3 linked regions of the Lepisosteus oculatus genome follow. The protein of the gene in region 1 interacts with the protein of each later gene in a biochemical or structural test. Links are inferred from orthologs where the notes say so. Each region holds a gene or a part of one and is shown in the gene's direction. Other genes may lie near its edges.

The links.
Region 2: the proteins of receptor tyrosine-protein kinase erbB-4 (region 1) and syk form a complex in vitro, tested with the Homo sapiens proteins (2 studies listed by BioGRID and IntAct, with this or other methods). The link is inferred for Lepisosteus oculatus from reciprocal best matches to the Homo sapiens genes ERBB4 and SYK.
Region 3: the proteins of receptor tyrosine-protein kinase erbB-4 (region 1) and ras GTPase-activating protein 1 form a complex in vitro, tested with the Homo sapiens proteins (2 studies listed by BioGRID and IntAct, with this or other methods). The link is inferred for Lepisosteus oculatus from reciprocal best matches to the Homo sapiens genes ERBB4 and RASA1.

The regions. Positions count from the first base shown.
Region 1 is NC_090707.1:8,562,964-8,569,996, forward strand, and holds the start of receptor tyrosine-protein kinase erbB-4, read left to right. Parts: upstream 1-4,008; 5' UTR 4,009-4,289; coding exon 4,290-4,365; intron 4,366-7,033. UniProt on the Homo sapiens protein: Tyrosine-protein kinase that plays an essential role as cell surface receptor for neuregulins and EGF family members and regulates development of the heart, the central nervous system and the mammary gland, gene transcription, cell proliferation, differentiation, migration and apoptosis.
Region 2 is NC_090698.1:49,714,288-49,721,547, forward strand, and holds the start of syk (tyrosine-protein kinase SYK), read left to right. Parts: upstream 1-4,238; 5' UTR 4,239-4,552; intron 4,553-7,260. UniProt on the Homo sapiens protein: Non-receptor tyrosine kinase which mediates signal transduction downstream of a variety of transmembrane receptors including classical immunoreceptors like the B-cell receptor (BCR).
Region 3 is NC_090698.1:71,891,555-71,898,697, forward strand, and holds the start of ras GTPase-activating protein 1, read left to right. Parts: upstream 1-4,121; 5' UTR 4,122-5,044; coding exon 5,045-5,541; intron 5,542-7,143. UniProt on the Homo sapiens protein: Inhibitory regulator of the Ras-cyclic AMP pathway. Stimulates the GTPase of normal but not oncogenic Ras p21; this stimulation may be further increased in the presence of NCK1.

The DNA.
Region 1 (7,033 bases):
GCTGTACAGGCACCTGCACAGGTGGACTGTGTTTCTGAAGCATGTCAATCTTGCACAACCTGAAGGGATTTCTTCCTGGGATCGAAGGGGTGGTTTAAACTCTTTCTGCATCCTCACAGATGAGGTGTAACTGATTTCCCTTATTTCTAAATGCCTTCTTCCAAAACCCCCCTGTCCATTTTATTTGTCCTTTGCCCCTTGAAAGAGCTGTTAGGTCACTCGTTTTACCTTTAAGGAAATATAGTTTTAGAAATTAAAATACATTTTTAGCCCATGCTGCGATTCTTTATGGGATGGATGGGTGTCTTGATGTGCATCAGAAAATATGGATTTTTGTAGGGTCGGTCACCCGGGGGAACTCTGGGTATTCATCCTGGGGTAAAGCTTTTCATAACTCCTACAGTATGAGATGCTTTTTCCTATTATGTGCCTGAAAATGTGCACGTTTCCTGTGGCAGATCGAGCCAGAGTGCAGGGGATTCATAGGAGTGAGTTATGCAAAATGTAATAAAGCAGTTTTATCATTTGCATTGTGTTTCTGAATATATTATGATAGCCAGAGATTCTCAAGGTTTCCTGTTATTAATGCTTCTGCTTCGCTACACGCTCATCCATTAAACAGGCTCTGACTCTCCCGCTGAAATTATAAACATCCACCTTCACAGAGCTGGCTTATAAACTACAGTAATTCTGTGTAGTTAATTTTTGTATTCTGAAAATATACAATGTTTAATTGACGGTTTGAGAGAGGTACGGTCTAAGCAGCACTCTATTAAAAAGCTATTGCGCTAAAATTAAATTTGTTATTACGTTAATCAAGTCTGGACACGTGGGGTGCACTTACTAAAACCCTATTAAATATGACTTCTTCCTTTGATATTTTGATAATCACCCACACGTTACATTATTAAAAGCACATTAAATTAAACATTTAATGTGTCTTAATAATAAAAGGCCAGTATCCGAATCATCATAGTTTTCAACACGGTATGAAATCTGCATCGTCCTTTACTCTTTTCTTGACCCCAGAGGTACTCAAAGGCTCCCCCGTCTGGATTAGGGACGGCATTACAACAACGCGATCTGACTGCAAGTTTTAATAGCTGCGGAGGGCGTTTCATTTGACACACAAGTACACGCACACATGGCCTTCGAATGTCAGACAGGACCCTAAAAAAATCTACCTCTTTTGGCTGCCAGGCCAGTGGGTCACTTTGATGAGAGTAATTTTACCCTTCAATGTGTAACCTCTTCCTCCTCCTTTCTAAATAATAAATATAATTAAAATAATTACACGTTGAAAGTACACCAGCAGACGGCAGTGGGTTTGAAAAGCACGGGATAACAGAACAATGCTCTCTTATTTTAAACACAAAACTGTTTAATTAAAAACCGAACTGAAAACTAAAGAAAACTAAATTATCTATATTATAAATAGTAGACCCACATTCCAGCGCTGAACAAAACATTAGTTCAAATATGAGTTACCACCCTCAGAACAGTCGGCAGGAACCCTTGCATGCAAATCTATAATATTTTCTGGTGTTAGAGCAAATAATCTAACTACACAAACAAAACAAAAAAAAAACATTAACATCTGTGCCCAAGTGATTAGTAAGTATTTTCCAGCCAGCACTAGCCTGGCTGAAGCACAAATGTTGCTAAATTGAAATGATAACTCAAGTCAAGTCTCACTGTTCACTCTCGCGGTGTAAAGTACTGCACCGTGACTGTCCACACAGCACATTGTTCTTTAAGGTACAAAATCTTTTATTTTTGTTTAAAGGCAATTCCAGTCATAGTGCGAAACACAAACTTAGACAATGATGGATAATGTTATTTCCTCCCTGAAGCTGAGGTTGTTTTTTTTAATTATAATTCCAAGAATAAGAAGATACGAATACAAGAAAGACTGCAAATGAGAGGAGGTAGGTAGCATCTGATCTAGGGATCTCACAAATTCCACAATATTATAATCATCATCATCATCATCTTTTGAGAGTCTATGTCTTTGTGCCCTGTGATAGTCTAGGGTGTATGCTGCTTTGTGCCAGTTGCTTGCCAGAATAATAGTAATCCTTAGATTTATATAGTGCCTTTCCAGACACTGCACTCAATCATCATATCATCATCACCTTCATCACAGACCCCATGTGAAGTTCATCCACAAGCGAAGTGTAGCCCTCACCAAGCAGGACACTGGGAGTGCCACAGCACTGTAGTGGGAACTCTGCTGACCACATAGCCAGACACTCAGCTGAACATCTCATCCAAGGGACAGCATCTCCTACAGCACAATGTCCCTGGTTTACATTTCTGGGGACCAGAATTTGAATTGGACATTCGAATCCAAACAGAAGAACACCACCTAATGTTCCACACACAAAAACACACACTTGCAGCAATTGAAACTAGAAGGTTAAAAGTTTATTTAAAATCTCGTATTGGTATTTTACATATTTATTTTGCCTTTCATGAACAACAGTTACAGGTCCCCCAGCTGAATACTGACCAGGTTCAGCCTTACTTACAGTACCTTCTAACATCTGAAAAGAGTTGTTTTTTAGATGTTTTACTAATATTTTGATTTCAACACAAATGAGATTTTTAAGAATGCTAAGAAATGCAACTAGTGTAAAAAGAAAGAGACTTAATTTACCTTCTTCTTTGGAATCTTTATAATAAAAGTTCATCTGCTACATACTGTATGCTCTGTATTTATTACATGTATCTAACGATATGTTTCTGAGCATGATTTATGCATATGCAGCAGAAACATGCAACTGCTTGTGCTAAATTTTCTGAAATGCAAACAAACTGTCTTCTCATGCTGAATGTCTTCTGTAAGTCATTTTAGGATTATCGTGGATGTTAACACTCATGATACTGCAGAGGGTTAGGCCAGCCAAAAGGCAGAGTTTGGGCCAGATGTTCCAGCATATTGTGATTCAAAGCTGTGTGTATCCCCCTGGCAGGGACTGAATGGCAGGTGATGGTGAGAATTATTGGGAAGACAAGTTTCTGGGATTTTAAGGACACAAGTGAGCCTAATGCCAGTGGCTTATCTTTTGTGGTTTCTTCCACTAAATCTTTTTCATGTTTCTGAAGAGAGGAACCTGGAATCACTTACTAGTGGTCTGAACAACTTACCAACAAAGGACACAACACAAAAACAATTGGAGAGTGACACCAATTGGACTTCCTGTACACACGCAGATACACCGTGCATAATAAATGCGAAATCAGCAGGACTTGCCTTGTAGGAATATAAGAGAAGTACAAAAGAAGCACTTTTGTAAAGAATTATAAGTAATATAAAAGAATCGTAAGTGGGTTTAAAAATCCACCTGTGTACTTAGTGTCATATACGAACTATTATGGAAAATTGCGTTTGGCTTGATTACAGCCGTCAGTATAAATAGTTTAATTTAAATTTGTTCTAAATAGTCCACCGTGCTCGTTGTTTCACTTTTGCAATCAATTTCTAATAACTGTTACACGTAGGACTCTTACTTTAGTATGGCTTATGATATCTTAACCCATAAAGGTGTTCTTTGAAATCGTCCTTCTTCCGTGATAAGACAACGTTTTTTTGTTTAATCTATTACTGTATTTATCAGAAAGTTTTTTAAAGGTCAAATAATGCGCTTCTTAAATGCTACGTTCCGATTATTCCAAGTCTGGGAAACAAAATTTTATCTCTGATAATAGTATTATTAGAAAACACTACCAGGTTGACGCCAGAGAACCCAAGAAAATACCACATTAAATCGCGCCGACAGTTGCGCGTTCACCTGACTCGGTTCTGCCTTTGAGACAGGTGTTTGCGCTGAATAAAACAGCAATTTTTGGGAAGGCCTGAAGACCCAATGGGAGCGCAGGAAGGCGTGGTTAAAGGCGGGGACCAATTGTACCGGCCGCCTTTGGAGCCAATGCACCGGGCGATGGGCGGGGAAACTCCCTCAGGGGGGCGTGTCTCCAGCTTTCGAGCGGACGCTGTGTGCTGAACTCTGCAGAGAGTAATGGCATGAGCTTAGCACTGCAATCAGGGCAAGCTACTGTATACCACGCTGTGGAAAGTACATTACTACTGTGCGAACTTCGGCAAATCTTTTCAAGGCACAAACAGGACTAAGACACACCTGGAGGAGACATATTTACGTTTCAAACCGTGCATCGAAACCCTGTCATCAGCTCAAGATTTCTTTTGTCCATTAAAAAATAAATAAATAAACGGGATATGTTGCTGGACATGTGAATTTAAGGAGTAACTGCTACCCCCCAAAAAAATGAAGCCAACCACTCTGTACTGCTTCGGCTTGCTGTTCAGTTTTGTGATCGTCAGGATCAGCTCATCGCAGTCAGGTGGGTAGGATATATTTGTTCTCGTATCGTGCGCAAGGTGTATTGTTAAATGTCATGCTCCAGCGTGTGTTGTTATTGGGCTGTGAGGTACTGTTGTTTCTCACTAGTCGGGCTAGTAGTTTCTGCGCCGTGTGGACTCTACAGTTGCTGGTAACGCTGGTCACAGTCTATTTCTCACAATCGCCAAATGTGTGATATTGTACATTGTGGACCACAAGTTATGAACGGAATGACAGTCAGTAAATGAGAGCAGGAATGTGTTGTTTTTAAGGCTCTTTCGGCTCCGACACTCCTCTTTCACTACGATGTCGATCTTGATACTGTTTATGCTGTACCTGTTTTTGAGAGACTGCGGGGTTGTGCTATCGCGCCTTGATTATTAGGGGTATGTTAAAGTGCGTCTCGGAGACTCAAGAGAATCAGGATTTTTGGTTTTTTAGAGAATTGGACATGGAGTTCACGCCGCACGTGTCCCGGACACACCGGAGAACTATTGTCCACTCACTCACGTTTTCCCACCGTGTTTTTTCGTCCCTTGAGCAAAAAGAGGCTTAACCAGTTCGTTTGTGTTTCTTCCCGCTGCCTTCTTGAGCGATTGCACCTGACCTACCGCCTTTCCCGTCGTCAGTGATTTAAAAAATGCCAGCAATTTAAGAAGGACGAATGGAGGTGCTATAAATACGCGATTTTAATAATCGATGCGGTGTTGACGATTTAAATATCTGCGGACTACTATCAGCATCCTTAACGCCGTTTGGTGTTTTACTAGAATTTAGATATTCTTCACATTGTATGGCATCTTCAGATGTTGTTCGTTGTCATATGGTTAATCTGCGTAATGAAACGTAAACATGTATAAAGAACATCTAATTAGTCGTTAACGCCAGTTATTATTATTAATAATTATTAGCTCATAGCTGTCTCGCGTTTCGATTGACGAAGCTATAGTTCCCGTTCAAAGACACCGAGCCTCGACTTGCGCATCTGAAACATTATTTACAGAGCACAACAAAAACTTCTTCGTTCTTTGGGTGTTCAATGGTGTTTATGAGAAGTAAATAAACTAAATTTCGGAAGTAATGTGGCAGTCTGTTCATAACATAATGAACAGATTGGGAAACATTCGAAGTACCCACACAGGACCTGTAACATGCGAGTAATAACTACTGTACATTTTTTTAAATAAATTAGCAAGTAATCGACTAATTAGCACTCATTACTAATTACTCATTTAATGGTTTTGCACCTGAGTGGTGACATATAGTATCTTACGCGTCTCCAAACGTTTGGGATCACAAAGGGTTTTGATACCTTGTTCTGTATTTTCTTTACTGTAGTCTCTGTAGGCACAATAAAATGCACCGTCTGTGCCATATGAAACAGAATTTGGCTGACTGTTAGCTTGGTCTATTGGAGGACCGGGCATTATTACGCTGCAAGAGATCGGGCTGTGCTGTTTAAACAAGTTGAGATATAGTTTTGATTGCTTGGGAGAAACAACCGCATCTCCACACGGTGGTGGTATGATCCGGAGACTCGCAGTCCTTTCGCGCTGTGTACAATCTGAACTCTGCAGCCTGTGGCGTCTCTTGTCTTATACTGTATGTTTCGCAGCTGATAGGATTCAGGCTAAAGGGCAGCCGAGCCTCGCTGAGAGTCATAGGTGTGTGTTTCCCTTGAGATCGTGCGCCGGAGGGTTATTCGCGAATGTGTGTAACTGCAAGGTGTGGAAATCTTGCGTGGGTCAGAAAGTGGAGAAGTTTCAGGTTCTAGCGAAAAGTGCGTCTTACTCACTTCTCAGACAGTGGCATATACCTGTTCATAATTCTCCCTTATACTCATCTATCTACATTATTATGCAAAGGTGTACTGTATATCTGTATTCAAAACATTCCTCGGAGAACTTCTAGAAAGGAGTTCTTCAATACTTCAGTGAGATTTTGCATCCGTTTACTGTACGTTCAATATTACGAGTTAGCGTTCCGTTGTCTCAAGAATTGTTTAATGAAAAGTAGGCGAGGCGTTCTCCTTTTAATTAAATGGCAGTTCTGCTGTTTCACCCCCTCACGAAAAACAAATCCTCACATTAAGCGAACGTCCTTTTAAAGCGTACTGAACTCTAGAAATGGGTTACAAACGTTGTTAATGATAATAGTGATACTATACTTTTAGCCAAGGACATATTCTGCACGTGTACAATTGGAGCCTTGGTACGTGGTTCATTAGAAATCTCTCCCAAGTCCGCAGCAGGCTCTTTCGGTGTTGTGACTGTCCCTGGACTAAACAGGACTTCACTGTCATAAAGGACATGAGATGACGGGTAACACATTTACAAGTGCCCTTTCGTCTTCTTTATTAATGTTCAGTTCATAAACTGAAACACAGATAATCTTCGGGATTCCCTGAATTGCTTCTAACTTTATGATTACATTATGATGGGTACTGTTTTAGTAGTGACAGGAAAAATCCATAGACTCAGACGTCTGGGTCTTTCCTTACGTTGATTTAATGCGTTCAAGGCACATCACCCCAGGTCTGGCACGTCTTCGCTGGCTCCCCATCACACACCGCATTCGGTTCAAATGTTTACTCTTAACTTATTAAGCCCTACACACCGAATGCCTGCATTGCTTAGCATCTCTCGTTACTCCCCATGTACCAAGCAGGG
Region 2 (7,260 bases), on another chromosome or scaffold:
ATCTATGTTGGCATTTTGCTATTCCAATATTCTCTATCTACTTTTTGGTTAGCAGTGAGCCTTGTTTCATGAACACAAATGTCACAGGCCCCCAGACTCTGTTTTTTTAGGTTTCTAAAAAAGAAATCCTTTTTCATATGGGAAAGTAAAGCTGTTTAATTAAAATACAGAGGCAACTTACTAGCTCTGCAGTCTATTCTGCTTTGACAGCATTCATCCTCTTTCTGGCTATAGAATAATTGTCCTGACCTGCACTTGACCTGAAGATGTTCCATTAACTAAAATGTTATACTAGTACATTTCTTTGTATTGGAGTGAATAATTTCTTTTTTATGGAAATGGGACAAGAGTCAGAGAACACAAGTGCAAACCATAACAAAGTGCATTAAAAACTAAGAAGAGAGGAGGAACTTGAAGGAGTACAGTACAAACTGGCAAGCTACAGTATGATGGTTGAAGCTGCTTCTCAGGCTTCAATCAGGATATAGCTGTGTGTCATTTTGTTACTGAAAAATCAAATGAGCAAGACTGGCCTAATGGCCCACTTTTATTTGTAATTTATCGGATGTTCTTAAGTTTTGAGACAGCTAGCTCTTGCTGAAACTCACGTTTATTGACAGGAAAAGTTATGTTGCTTGATTAACCATGCGATACAGTACAGTATGTTTTCATTTTACAGAAAAGCAAATGCTTTTGGTTGCAAGGCAACATGTAAATATACTGGATCTAATTTCCACATAGCACATACAAGTACAATTTAAGATTTAGCATAAAATTAAATAGTGAAAGAAACAGTTGTAATTATGTTGCCTTAATCTCTCTTTATTTCAAAGTGTTCTTTGTTCTAGTTTTTACACACACAGACTAGAAGAAGAAAAGCACGATGAGTTTACAGTGAGCTTCGTGAGAAGTCTGATAGGCAGAGTCTGCCATCTGCTGGGACTTTGGAACAACACCATGCTTTCATCTGCAGTCTTAAGCCATTTACAGTCTCAGTATGAACAGTACAAAGAACATTATAACTCTGGAGAGGTTGACTAAAAATAGTAAATTTAAAAATAGTTGCTAGCATAAGCATACATTATTACAGGTCAGAACAATAATGATTAATTGGCTCAAATATAAATGGAAAAACATCAGTGCAAGTTGGTACTTAGAATGCTACAAAATCATCTAGCCTTTACCTGTATATGGACATACTGTATTGTAGTTATAGGCAGACATGTCTTTAAATCTGAAAGTGGAATACCAAAAGGCCTAGCCAAAGGTGCTCCAAATTTTTCAAAGCTACTGAAACAATGAAGAAACAACTCCAACTAGACTCAGGGAAAAACAAACAGGTTGCAGAAGTGGACTGATGTTCACTAGCTTGTGTAGCAGATTTTTAGCAGATGTCATCAAAACTGACAACCTACATCCTGGCATCTGGAATCTGGAGAAGGGAGTCCTACATCAGTGTTTCTTTTGGGATTGGAAGAAAACTGTTTTTCATTTAACATGTTTATTTTAGTGAGCAAAGTATGACCTTAAAAAATATTTTTCACCATTTTTAGATAGATGCTTGGGGGTGGAATTAAAGTTGGGGGCCGACACTATACTGAATGGATGTAGTGAGTAGGGGGTCGGCAAAATGTATGAGTGAGGAGGCCATGCCCAGCTGAGACTAATACTGATGAACCCATGGGGCACAGTGAGTGTCAGTAACTGTGGAGGTGTCCTATGAGGACAGTGGGATAGAAAGGGGGAAAGAGGAGGAAAAAGGTGGGGAGTGGGGTGGATGATGAGGAGAGGAAGGAGAGGAGTCGAACTTTGCTCACATTTCTTAATGTATTGTACCTCATGGAAAAGTGGTGTCCCTCTGTTGTCTTTAAGTTAGGAGCTGGTCTGCGTTAGTTTAAGTTCTCTGCTTGTAAAGTCAGGGTTATATCCTAGCGTTTAGCTGTCATAAGTCTTAAATACAATCAGATGTGACTGGTTTATGGTTACTGGCTCTTCTGGACTTTTTTCAGCTAAGATCTGAATCTAGGATACAGATGTGGACCAAGGCTTAGCCAGCTTACTGTCTGAATATTTTTCTAGACCAGGGTCTAGCTTGCGGGAGCCTTGCAGTGAGCCTTACAGCCCAACTCTTCTTACAGAAACATTTCAGTATAACACTGCCAGTGATACCGGGTAGCTCTTCCATGTGCATGCTTGTTATTTTGAAAAATAACAACACCACATAATGGTAGTTCCCACACCATGGTCATTTGTTTAAAAAAACACATATCTTTAAAACGAGCTTTATGTAGTCCTTGTTCTCTCACCTGTGGTTTGGACACAAGCCTGAAGCAATTCCGTGTTAATTTATATGTAAAACCTGGATGAAATAAAAACTTCAACTTGCCTGTCAACGAAACTACACAGACCTAGTGTAATATTGTGAGTTTTACGAATACTTACTCCTTCTCCTCCTTTTGTACCCCACCATTGAGTAAGGGGTTTGTAATTCTGTCATTGGAAGGTGGGCTGAAGTTCTGATTTAATCCAGACCAAAGATACGCCAAAATGAAAAAATGGGAAGAGCTGAACACATAACTTAAAGGACAGATAAAGGACAGATTTATTTATAAACTGAAAAGGTGAGATTTTACATTGTACTCTTTCAAGCTCTTTGAAAAATTATATCATACACTATTAATAAAAATAGTGTTAAAAAATAATTGTAGTCTATGTGGGAAGCATGGTGGCTACAGTGGTTAACATTGCAGCCTTTCAACACTGGAGCCTCAAGTTCACTTACAGACCTAGGGTGCTATCTGCATGGAGTTTGTACAGTAAGTTCTCCCTTCATGTGGGCTACTTCTGGCTGCTCTGGTTTCCTCCCACAATCCAAAAATATAATGGTAAATTCATTGGTTTCTGGGAAAATGGGCTGTGTTATACTGTAAGTGTGTGTGTTTCTGTCTGTGTGTACCCTGTAATGGACTGGTGTCCCATCCAGGGTGTATCCTGCATCCTACTTTGCCCGCTGTTTACCAGGATAGGCTCTGGACCCTCTACAACTCTTGAATTGGATAAAGCTGTTAGAAAATTGAAGGAGGGATGTGCTGTTTGTATAAACCAAGAACAACCACTAGATGTCAGTTTTGAGTGTCAAAGAAGGCTGTTTAAAATAAATTCATTAAAAATGTCTTTATGTTTCCACGACGTTCTAATTATGAAATGGATTCCACACATATTTCTGTTTTTTTATGTTATATAGTACAACTGTATGTTATAAATATGGTTCCAAGCATCAGCTTAGACCAAGACCTTTTCTGATCTTTACTAAAAACTAAATTGACTGGTTCAAAGTCTCTTCGCTCTTTTTTTCAAGAGATTTGTTATGCTCACTGCAATTTGAAAGATTCACAGACTGACTGCCTGTCTGATTGATTGATTCCATATCAATGCTGTTAATTTCTAACCTGTGTTGTTAATTTCTAAATTTCTAATACTATTGTATTAGAATGCAATAACCAAGTGATTGATTGTCAAGTTAAAGTTTTTAAAAATTAGTTTATATTACATATGACTCATTTTTCAAATGTACACTTTTTTAAATGAAAAGAAAAGTGAAAAATGTTAATAGTTACAAAATTGTGAATTTTGCTGTGCCCATTATATTGCATTGATGAAACTCTTAAAGCCTTTCTTTATAGTTTGAATACAAGCCTTGTATTTATTTACTCTGCAGTAGTAGTAAATAAGAATTACTTCTTACAGTAATAGTAGTTGTTTGTAACCCAAACATACAGTGTAGATATTATGTATGCAAAGATACCCAGATATTGTATATATTTTCCTATCAGTAAGAAAATATCATACAGTAAGAATATTTTCATTACCAGGTCTAAGCAAACTATCATATTACTTCACTCAATGTATTATATTGCATAACGGTATTTGCTATACTGTACATACAGTAAACTGCAAATATTATCCTCACATACTGTACAGGAGTTTGTCAGCATAGTAGTTTGTCTTTTTTACAATACTTTTAAAGCCCTGTTTTCTGTATGATTGAACAGGCATGCCTGAACCACATTTTTTAAAAAAATTCATTCCGACATGGACACATATACATCTATCTACATACCATACAGTACATACATATATTGATGTTTTAAATCAAGACAGACTTTGGACAAAAGGGGAAGTCATATTCTAGAAAAAAAAGTCAAGGAAGTAGCTGCAAGCTGTTAAAAAGGGGAAGCTAAATTACACTTCCACATTGTACTCTGGCCTCTGCAAAAAACTCAAGTCTTGTAACCTCTTTAATGTAACACACATTAGTAATACATTGCGTTAAATATATATAGAATTTATTGTCAAGTTAAAGTTCCAATTTGCTGTTGATCAATTTTCTAAACTCATGTCACCTCCTGATACAAATTCTTCCAGAGTGATCACTTCAAAATATCCAAGAAGAGCCAGACCACATCCTGTTCACTTCACAAGCAGTTGAATATGGTTGCTTCTTTCTCCGAGCACAGAGACAGCTAGAAAAGGTTTTGGACCTACGTGAAAGGTAACGTTTTTGCTTATTGATTGACTACTGAATGTATGGATGAATTAATGTTGTGGGATTTTATTTTTTGAAAGAGAGTTTATGAAAAAGTAAAGTGCTAGCCACACTGTAAATGAAATACTTTGGATCAAAAGAAAAATGAAAGGCACCTGAGCAATTTTCCACTATTTGTTTTATTTAATTGACTGTGTGAGAGCTCAAGTGAATCTCGATATGATTTAATGATAGTGTTGTATACATACTGTATGATATATATGTAGAGGCTCTTTGTACGTCGTTATTAATAGTAAAATATATTTTTCTTTTGACTTCTTTAATTTCTAATGTTTCGAAGCAAGCGCCAGAAGCAGTGACCGTTTTCTTTTTATTTTCTATTAAATTAACAAAAATGACCAGGACTATTAAACCTAAAATTACATTTAGGTTATCTACAGTACATATTATTTTTTCAGACAGGATAATTTTGTGTGTGTCAAGTAAACTCAAGTTTTAATATGTTAAGCTCATATCTTTTAAACACATTTTAAAGTAACTGATCTTTTACATTTAATTTAAAGTTGCATTCTGTATATAGTCAGCTTTCTTGTAAATTACAGTGAACGTAGTGTAAATGTATTATTGAAATGGAGTCCAATGCTGCACATTGGAGTTGCTTTTGCGTTTTTTGAACACAATATTTTTAGGATGTTTGTCCTGTAATACAGAGAAAGGGAACTAGTATTCACAGAGAAAGGAAGGCAGAATAGTTGGAAAGTGGAAAATAATGTTTTCGCAGTCAAACATTTCTTTTTAGCACTTCTTCTAAACCATCCCACCCATTTCTGATTAACACAAACTGTGAAATACTAATATTAGTCCTTAGCAATAACATGGAAGGTAGTATATTTAAACATATATGAAGCATATAAAGTACTTTATTTTTTTTTTCAAATGTACTTTTAAATGCACTTTAGGGCACTGTTATGGCAGTGTTGAACAACATTATGTTCACTTAGCTCGTATGATTTATTGATTTAAGATAATGCTTTATTTGATTCATATGTTTACAGACAGAAGTACCTGTACTGTATGCTTAACCTTGAAATTTACATCAAGAAAAAATATAATTGTACTAAAGTTTGCAAGTACAGTACTATTTTTTTACAATACATTAACAAGTGTTGAGTTATATCCCATGAGGGGAGTTGGGTTAGCACAGGTCCTGCCTAGGTACAATAAAATTAATAAAAAATGTATTTTAATAATTATACAGAAAGAAAAGAAATATATGGAAAAATGTAACAAAGGGGATATTTAGTCCTATTTAAATTCCTGTTAATTAACAAATAATATAAATCCTGAATTCTACTGCCATGATGACATTTCATACAGTGCAGGAACTCTACATAAACAGAAGGATTTTAGTGATTAATATTTTTCAGTTTATTTTTGTACATTTTTAAACCAAACATTCAAAAGGCAAGTTTTAATGCTCCGTGTATTAAATTAAATTATCTCCCTAGAAATTTGGCATCTAATAGTTGTAGTGATGTTGTCATGCAAAACAGAGAATCTTTAATCTAAGAGTTTGAGTTTCCTGCAGTAAGTCCAAGACCTACAGTACAGTATTGTCAATACAGTGCTCTTATTCATTTTGTCTCATTTTATGATGTTACTCCCATAAGTTCACCATTGTGTCTTTATTTCCATTCATGTGTACAGTAGCAGTATGAATTTACATACATGAAATATAGCATGCCTTTGAAAATAAATTGTTGCTAGTTTTAAATAATTGCTGTTTAACCATTGAGCTAATTAAACTAACCACGGGTAAATTAATAATCAGAAAACCCCTAAATAACAATGTAAGGGCTGCCATTTTATTTTCACATTTATTTTATGTGATTTTATTTCCAAATAGCTTTCATGTGAGTTACCAGTGAGAACTAGCAAAGTATTTGTCTCTTAAAAGTAATCAGGGAAGAATGATTCTGAAATTGTATGCATGCTGTAGAATCAGGTTCACAACATGTCATTTGTGTGTTTTTGCTTAATTAAAAAATGGCTTCCATTGGACTAACCCTAACACATTAATTGCTGGACCTCACGATTATAATAGACACACACTGCTGATTGCAAGGGGATAAAAACACTTTTGTTAATGATTAAGAAACTGGAAGCAAACTTTTCATGCCTAAAGCTGACTTCCTTAGACTGATCTGTTTATAGCTTGACTTTAGGTTTCTGAACACAGTTGTATGAATTTGCATGCCTGTATGTAAAGGCTTTAGAGTTTTTGTTTCCAGTTAAGGTGAAAACCACAGGGTGGACGAGCAAGGTACCGTAAATAAACACTGTTCTCTTGTATTTTGCATGTCAAATTAAATGGCAGCATTCTGAAAACATTGAAATATTTTTTTTATTCTTATGATGTTAATACTGTCCTCAAGAAATTAATGAGAAAAATATATCATTAAAGTAGCATACATTGTACTTTTATTGCAATTTAAAAGTACAGCATTGAGCTGCAATGTAGGGAGAAGTAAATAGTATTCACAGAAAAAGGAAGGTGCAGCAGTAAAACCCAAAATAAAGTTTTGTTAAGCTATTTCTTTCAGCACTTCTTCTCAAGCATCACATTTATTCCAGATAAAGAAAAACTGTGGAAATACAATGGAAAGTGTTTTTTAGTACTGATTGTACATCATTTTGAGTCTTCAAATCTTTTG
Region 3 (7,143 bases), on another chromosome or scaffold:
ATCACAACCAATCACAACCTAAAACGATGAGTCAGCAACTCAGCCCATGGAACAGGATATTCACAGCAGCCAAGTTCTCAGTCCTAGTGTGGGCTTCCTCTCCACTGCTCCTTTTCTCTACCAGTGCCTGTTAGCAATCACAGCTGCCGATATTCTAGCCATTTTGTCAAAACCCTCAGCAGAATAGTATCACCTCTTTCCATTCTGTTTAAGATAAGATCACTTTATTAGCCATATACAATTTCTTGCATTAGGAATTTGTATTTTTGCATACCCCAGCTTGCTCTCCATGAGACACACAGATAGGAAAAGAATCTTGGGGTCAGAGCACAGGGTCTGTCATTTATACAGGGCCCCTGGAGCAGCTGGGGTTAAGGGCCTTGCTCAGGGGCCCAACGGAGTAGGATTCCTCTGGCAACCTTCCAGCCACAGACGCAGATTCTTAGCCACAGTGCCACGGCTCCACCCCATTAAGATGGCTGAAATCTTCACTCTGTTGTCAAACTCACCCTCATTCAGCGGTTATAAGGTCTGGCAGCCTGTGTGTATGTAATAATTATAATAGTAATTCCTTACGCTTATGTGGTACTTTTCTGGACACTCCACTCAAAGCGCTTTACAGGTAATGGGGATTCCCTTCTACCAGTCCAAAAGTGCAGCCCCCACCTGGATCATGCAACGGCAGCTATAGTGCGCCAGTACACTTACCACACATCAGCTATTAGTGGGGAGGAGAACAGAGTAATGAAGCCAATTCTTAGATGAGGATTATTAGGAGGCCATGATTGGTAAGGGCCAATGGGAAATTTTGCCAGGACACTGGCGTAACAGCCCTACTCTTTTTGAGAGACACCCTGGGATTGTTAATGACCACAGAGAGTCAGGACTTTGGTTTTATGTCTCATCCGGCACAGTATTGTGTCCCCATCACTATTTTACGCTGACGATACTCAAATATACATCCATACCAAACCCGACACTGATGTGGCTGTCTCTATTCTATCTAATTGCATCTCTGACATAAAAATTTGGATGACTCAAAACTTCCTTCATCTTAACTGTGACAAGACTGAAGTCATGCTTATTGGTACCCCCCATCAACTTCGTAAAGCCAGTCCTGTAACCCTGTCTGTAGATGGCTCTGTACTTGAGCTCCAATCAAAATTGAAAAACCTTGGGGTTATATTCGATTCTGGCTTAACATTCGACCCACATGTACAGCATACTGTCAAAACATCTTTTTTTCACCTTAGAAATATCGCAAGACTACGCCCTATGCTATCATTAACTGTGGCTGAAAAGCTAATCAACATATTTGTATTCTCTCGAATTGACTACTGCAATGCTCTGCTCCCTGGGGTATCTAAATCTACTCTGAACAAGCTGCAGTATGTCCAAAATTCAGCAGCCAGAATCCTGACCAGGTCTAGTGCAAGTGTTCACATTACTCCTATCCTGGAGTCCTTGCACTGGCTTCCGGTCAAATTCCGTGTAGACTTTAAAATCCTCATGCTCACCTACAAGGCTTTACATGGCCTGGCACCTCAATACCTGTCTGAACTTTTATCGCCCTACTCCCCACCTCGCAACCTCCGCTCTTCAAATTCTGCCCTCCTTACTGTCCCCCAAGCCCGTCTACATTGTATGGGCGACAGGGCCTTCTCCTGCTATGCCCCCAAGCTCTGGAACTCTTTGCCCAAGGATATTAGAGAGTCACCTTCTCTAAACTCCTTCAAATCCAGACTCAAAACCCTCCTTTTCAGAAAAGCCTTTACTTAACTGGTTCCATTCTTCACCCCTCTGCTCTTCTTAATACCATCTTCTACGGTCTCCTCTATTGTTACTGTTGTATTGTTGCAATCATAATTGTGTCCTGTCTTGTGAAATTTTCTTATTTATTGTTGTAGTCTTCTTATTTATTGTTATTGTCATCCTGTAAAGCGCTTTGAGAAGCCACCTTTAAAGGCGCTATATAAAATAAAGTTTATTATTATTATTATATTACTGGGGCATGAGGACCCACATGGACCGCAGGGTGAGTGTCACCTGCTGGCCCCACTAACACCTTTTTAGTTTTTCCCAGGAGGTCTCCCATCCAGGTACTGACCAGGCTCACACCTGCTGAGCTCCAGTGGGCTGCCAGCTGTGAGTTGTAGGATGATATTGTAACACTGTGTGTAAGAGCCGGCGTACCAGAGCAGGTGACGTCACCGCCCTTCCCTTGCCGCATCTGGTCGGCCCCATCCCGACTGGAGGCTCGAACCCGGGACTTCCGCATCTCTCTGCAGCGACCTAGCCCCGTGAGCTAATGAGAGATCTCTCCACAGCCCAGTAGCTGTGGTCCTGCTATCACAGGGAAGGGCGGTGACGTCACCCGCTCTGGTACGCCGGCTCTTACACACAGTGCTTGTCGGCCATAAGCGTTACACTATGTATGCTGGCGTGGTGGTTGTATTAGGGTGACTGTCACATCAGGGAACACCTGCAAAAGGCAAATGTTCTGAGTAACTCCCTGAGCAACTGAAACAATCAGAACATAGATTTTTCTTCCTTATATTGAGATTAAATTAACAATTGTATTAAAGTATTAGATTCAGAACTACAAAACTGTTGCAAGGGCAGCACAGTGGCACAGTGGTTAGCATCACTGCCTCACAGAACTGGGGCCCTGTTTTCAGTTCCTGGGATGCTATCTGCGTGGAGCTTCTATGTTCTCCTACTGTTTGCATGGCTTTCCTCCCATGGTTAAAAAGACCAACTGGTAGGTTAATTGGCTTCTGGGAAAATAAGCCCTGGTGTGAGTGTGTGTCCCATCCAGGGGGTACCTCATCTCATGCCTGTAGCTTGCCAATGTCGGCTCTGACACTCCAGGCTCCCCGTGACCCTGTTTTGGATTTGACAAGTAGTGGTGATTCCACACTAGAAGGAAAATGGGAAGAAACCCGGTAATTTGCCTGTGTTTCTAGTTGTGCAGGGAGTTGAGGGAGAGGGTAGGAATATGAGTGTAAGGCGTACAAATGAAAGTCATTGTAAGAATGAGTAAAGAGGCAAGTATAAACGCCGCAGCATATTAATGTACATACTGCAGTGCTTTTAAACAGATGCAAGTTTCTAGCGCCAGGAAGGGACTCCCAGGGGCAGAACCGGGCTCATTATTGAGCCACGCCCCTCATTTAAGCCTGAAATACTCAGAATCACCAACACAGGGAGCACTCAGACTCACGCATGGGAGGCTGGACCCCACGGATATTGAAGCAGCCAAGGCAGGCAGGGTGACAGTGTGACAGAAGGGAGCAACAAAGGAACAGCTCAGACAAAGAAATGCTACACAGCCGTGTACTGTCGATGGAGGCTTCCCATCATTCCCACAGAGCCAGTCCCAATATCCTGAGCTCCCTTTCCTAGCTCCTTGGACACTGTCCTGGCAGATGGCTCTACAATGTGTTGTGTACTTACTGTATACACTGGTGAATAAAACACAAGAAAGCTTAGAAATAATCAGGTCATTAGACCAGCTAATGTGCATTATCAGTAGCTAATTGATCCTAGCTGTTTTCATTGATTCAGCTGTTCCTTGAAAGAAGCCAGGACTCTAGCTTCAGCTACACGTACTGTTCCATACTCCTGCAGTCCTCTGTGTAGAGAAGAGCCTCCTGTTCTAAGCTTTAAATGCACTCATCCATAGATCCCACTTATGCCTGCTGGTTTATTTTTCACTTTCAGGCCTGAAGAAGTCAGGTTTATCTCTCTGTCAGTGCTTCGGGGGGGTTTTGAACACTGTTCTGAACACCCCTCCTAGTCTTCTCTGTTCAGCGTTGAAAAGATTCAGTTATTTTATTCTGGCAGTAGTAGTAGTAGGTTGTCCACAGAGATTGAAGGGGGTTGTCCAAAATGTTACTGTACAGGGAAAAAAATAAGTTAAACGTTCCTCTTCTGCCCCAGTTTACGTTGTTGTTTTTCTGTATAATGGTAAAAAAAGAGTTGTTGTTGTTTGTTTGTTTTTTTTAAATAAGAGAAATCCATTCCATTGCCCCACTTCTCAGGCAGTGATTTTCTCAGAAGCCGGGCGAATCGAAGGCGCGGTCGAGCCGCTCGGCGCTCGCTTGGCCGGGTCTGAGCCTGAGCGTCAACACGCTTCCAGTACGGGAGAGAGAGGTAAGAGCTATAGCTCTCTCGGCAGCGCAGGGGAGGGGGAAAAAAAACAACAACCCACAGCTCTCGGCAGCGCAACGAACAAAAAAAAAAAACACCAACTTGCGCAAGAAACAATCTAACAATTTTTTCACATCCGGCTGGGCTACGGCGAGGGGCCAATCTAAAACAGAAGCGAGCGGAGGAAACGGGCATTGCAACGGCCAGGGGGCGAGAGAGAGAGAGAGAGGAGAGGTGTTCACAACTGCAGGCTGGAAATCGCCGCTGAAACAAGCAAAGCAGAAGAAGAGAGAGGGAGAGAGACAAAAAAGAAAGAAAGACAGAAGCCTGGGAGGCAGAGACTGACAATAAGCCACACGCTCCCGACAAGTGGACCTGCTGCCCCGGAGAGGGGAGACGCCGTGTCTCTGCCTCGCACCCTGCTCGCTCGGTGCCACACTTTCTTCAACTTTTCCCCAGCCCGGCGACGAGGATGGAGACTTAAAAACTCATTTTTGGAGCCCAGCCGTCCGCGGTTGTTTTGTTTTTGTTTTGGAGGGGGGTGTGTGTGTGTGTGGGGGGGGAGGTTTGTCGAGCGTGTGCATTCAGCAGGACTGTGGCGGCGGAGCACCAGCGAGGTGGTGTAGTTCTTCCAAGTTGAAAGTTTTGGAGCTGAGCTTTTTGTTGTTTTTTTTTTTGTTTGTTCAGAGAGCAAGAGAGAGAGACAAAAAACCAAGAGTCCCAAGACAGACTGGGGGGAAGGATCCCTTTTCCACCCCTTTTATTCCCCCTCTCCCTCCCTTCCTTCCTTTTTCTCCTCTCTTTTGCATGCTCATATTTTATATATATATACACACACAACGAGAAACAACAAACGAAGGACCCGAAGAAAAAAAAAATCTATAAGAAAATCATGATGGCGGCGGAGGTCGGAAGCGAGGAGGCAGGTTCGGTTTCGGCCGGGACCGGGGTTTCTGCCGCCGGAGGCCCGGAGGCCCACTTTGCTTTCTTTGCCCAGCCGAGATTGCGGGTGAGTGAGTCGGCCCCAGGAGCAGCCCCGGCCCTCCTCCACCACCGCCCGCCCGACGGCCCCTCGGAGGTCGTCCTGTGCCCGGTGGCCGGCGCTGGGAGTGGCACCGGTGCCGGGCAGCCCTCGCCGTCTGGGGGCAGCTCGTCCGCGGGGGCCGGGGCGGCGGGTCCCCCCACCCCCGAGGCGCAGGGCATCCGGATGTCGCCGACGTCGGGGGGTCCGGACGGGCCCGCCGCCGCCTTCCCCCCTCTGCCGCCCCCTCCTCCGCCGCCCCCCGTCTGCGGGGGTCTGGGGACGGTGGACGAAAACGACATGCTGGACGGCGCGGAGTACGAGGAAGAGGAGGTCGCCTTCCCGCTGACCGCGCCGCCTACGAACCAGTAAGTTAGGGGGGATTTATTGAAAAAGTAAGATGATTTGAACAACCACCACCACCACCACAACAAACGGGGGAGAGAAAAGAAGTCGGTTGTGTGTTAACGAGAGGGCTCTCGGGAGAGATCCGAGCCGCGCTTAGCTGTGAAGTTTGATGGTACAACTTGTTGACAGCCAGCGGTTTGATGTGCGCTTCAAACTGCAGGGAGTAGCGCTGCAGCGCCGGATGCAAACAACCTCTCCATAAAAACTTTCTAAGCCTTGCTGCTGAATCAGCGCCCTGTCGCAGACAGCCGATACAAATCCTTTCACCTCGGTAGAACAGGGCCTTTTTTACTGTCTAAAACATTGGAGTTTGAAGAATCGGCCTGTCTTCAGACGCAACACTGAGACACCTGCAGAGCGACGCTTTCCTGTTGTACTGTCCATTTACAGTGCAGTTACCTCAGACTAAAGAAAACTTCATCGCCAGGACGAGAGTTTCTTGCCTTAACACAGTATGCTCGCTCTGCAAGGGTCTGGTCCATTCCGAGGGACAGGAAATGTCGTGAGCTGGTTAATTGAGCAGGGAGAGAGAGAGAGATTGTGCTTAAAAAAAAAAGTAACTCGATTCAGTAGGACTAAATTAAACGCTCTTGTAGTTTTCATTTGCTGTGGAGTTAATCCTGAGCCAATTTTGGTGAACACCCACAACGCCTGCAGCTCTGTATAGTGCCACAGAACGGTTTATCTGGTTCCTTAGGTTTTGGTGATGGATATGTATGTGTGCATACAGATGGGTATATACCTTGATCGCATATTAAAATGAACAAGAAGTTGCAGGTAAGGAGAGAAAGAAAGTGGTTCAAAATTGAAAAGTGAATTTACAGTCGTGTGGGTTTTGAGAGCTGCAAACCATGAGACTCACGATTGGAAGGCGAGAAAAAAAAATGCTTTCAGGTTTTCACGTGCGGGCACTAACCACCTGTTAACAGCAGTGAGCTTCGGCTCTGTCAAGTTACACACGAGTAAAGGCTGCTGTTCCCTCTCACTGAACTACTGCAAAGGAAGTGTTGTCAACTGCAAGGTGTGATATCGTTTAGCTCTAGTGCCACGTTTACGCCAGATTTAAAGAAAAATGAATTTACTTTAGTGCCATATACACAAGCGATAGGGGAATGAAAATATTTAGACGTGCTCAGACACGAGGATGAGGCCTTGTTAAGGAAAAGGTTCTGGAGCACAGATTCGCACCCTTACTAATGTGTCTTGCTCAGGGGTGCATGGAAGCCACACAACAGCCAGGATGCAAAAATCCCCACGTTCAGGTATTGTACTTTTATAAAATGGCCAGCATTAGTTAAATCAGTATTTTCCAGTAGGTTTATATAAAACAAGCATTAACATGATCCTGGAAATGCACAACTTCAAGAAATTTGAATGTTATTTGTGGCATAGAATTCTTTGGAAAAATGTCAGCCCTTGTCCTGGTGTTGCAGTGCACAGACTTTACTGGTAGCCAAAAAACGTCCTTCCTTGGCTTTACCTTACTAACCTAAATGCCTCCGGTCTGAAACTGAATTAATACGAGTCTGGTTTGTATGTTTAAATGGATCCTTTTTCCTGTG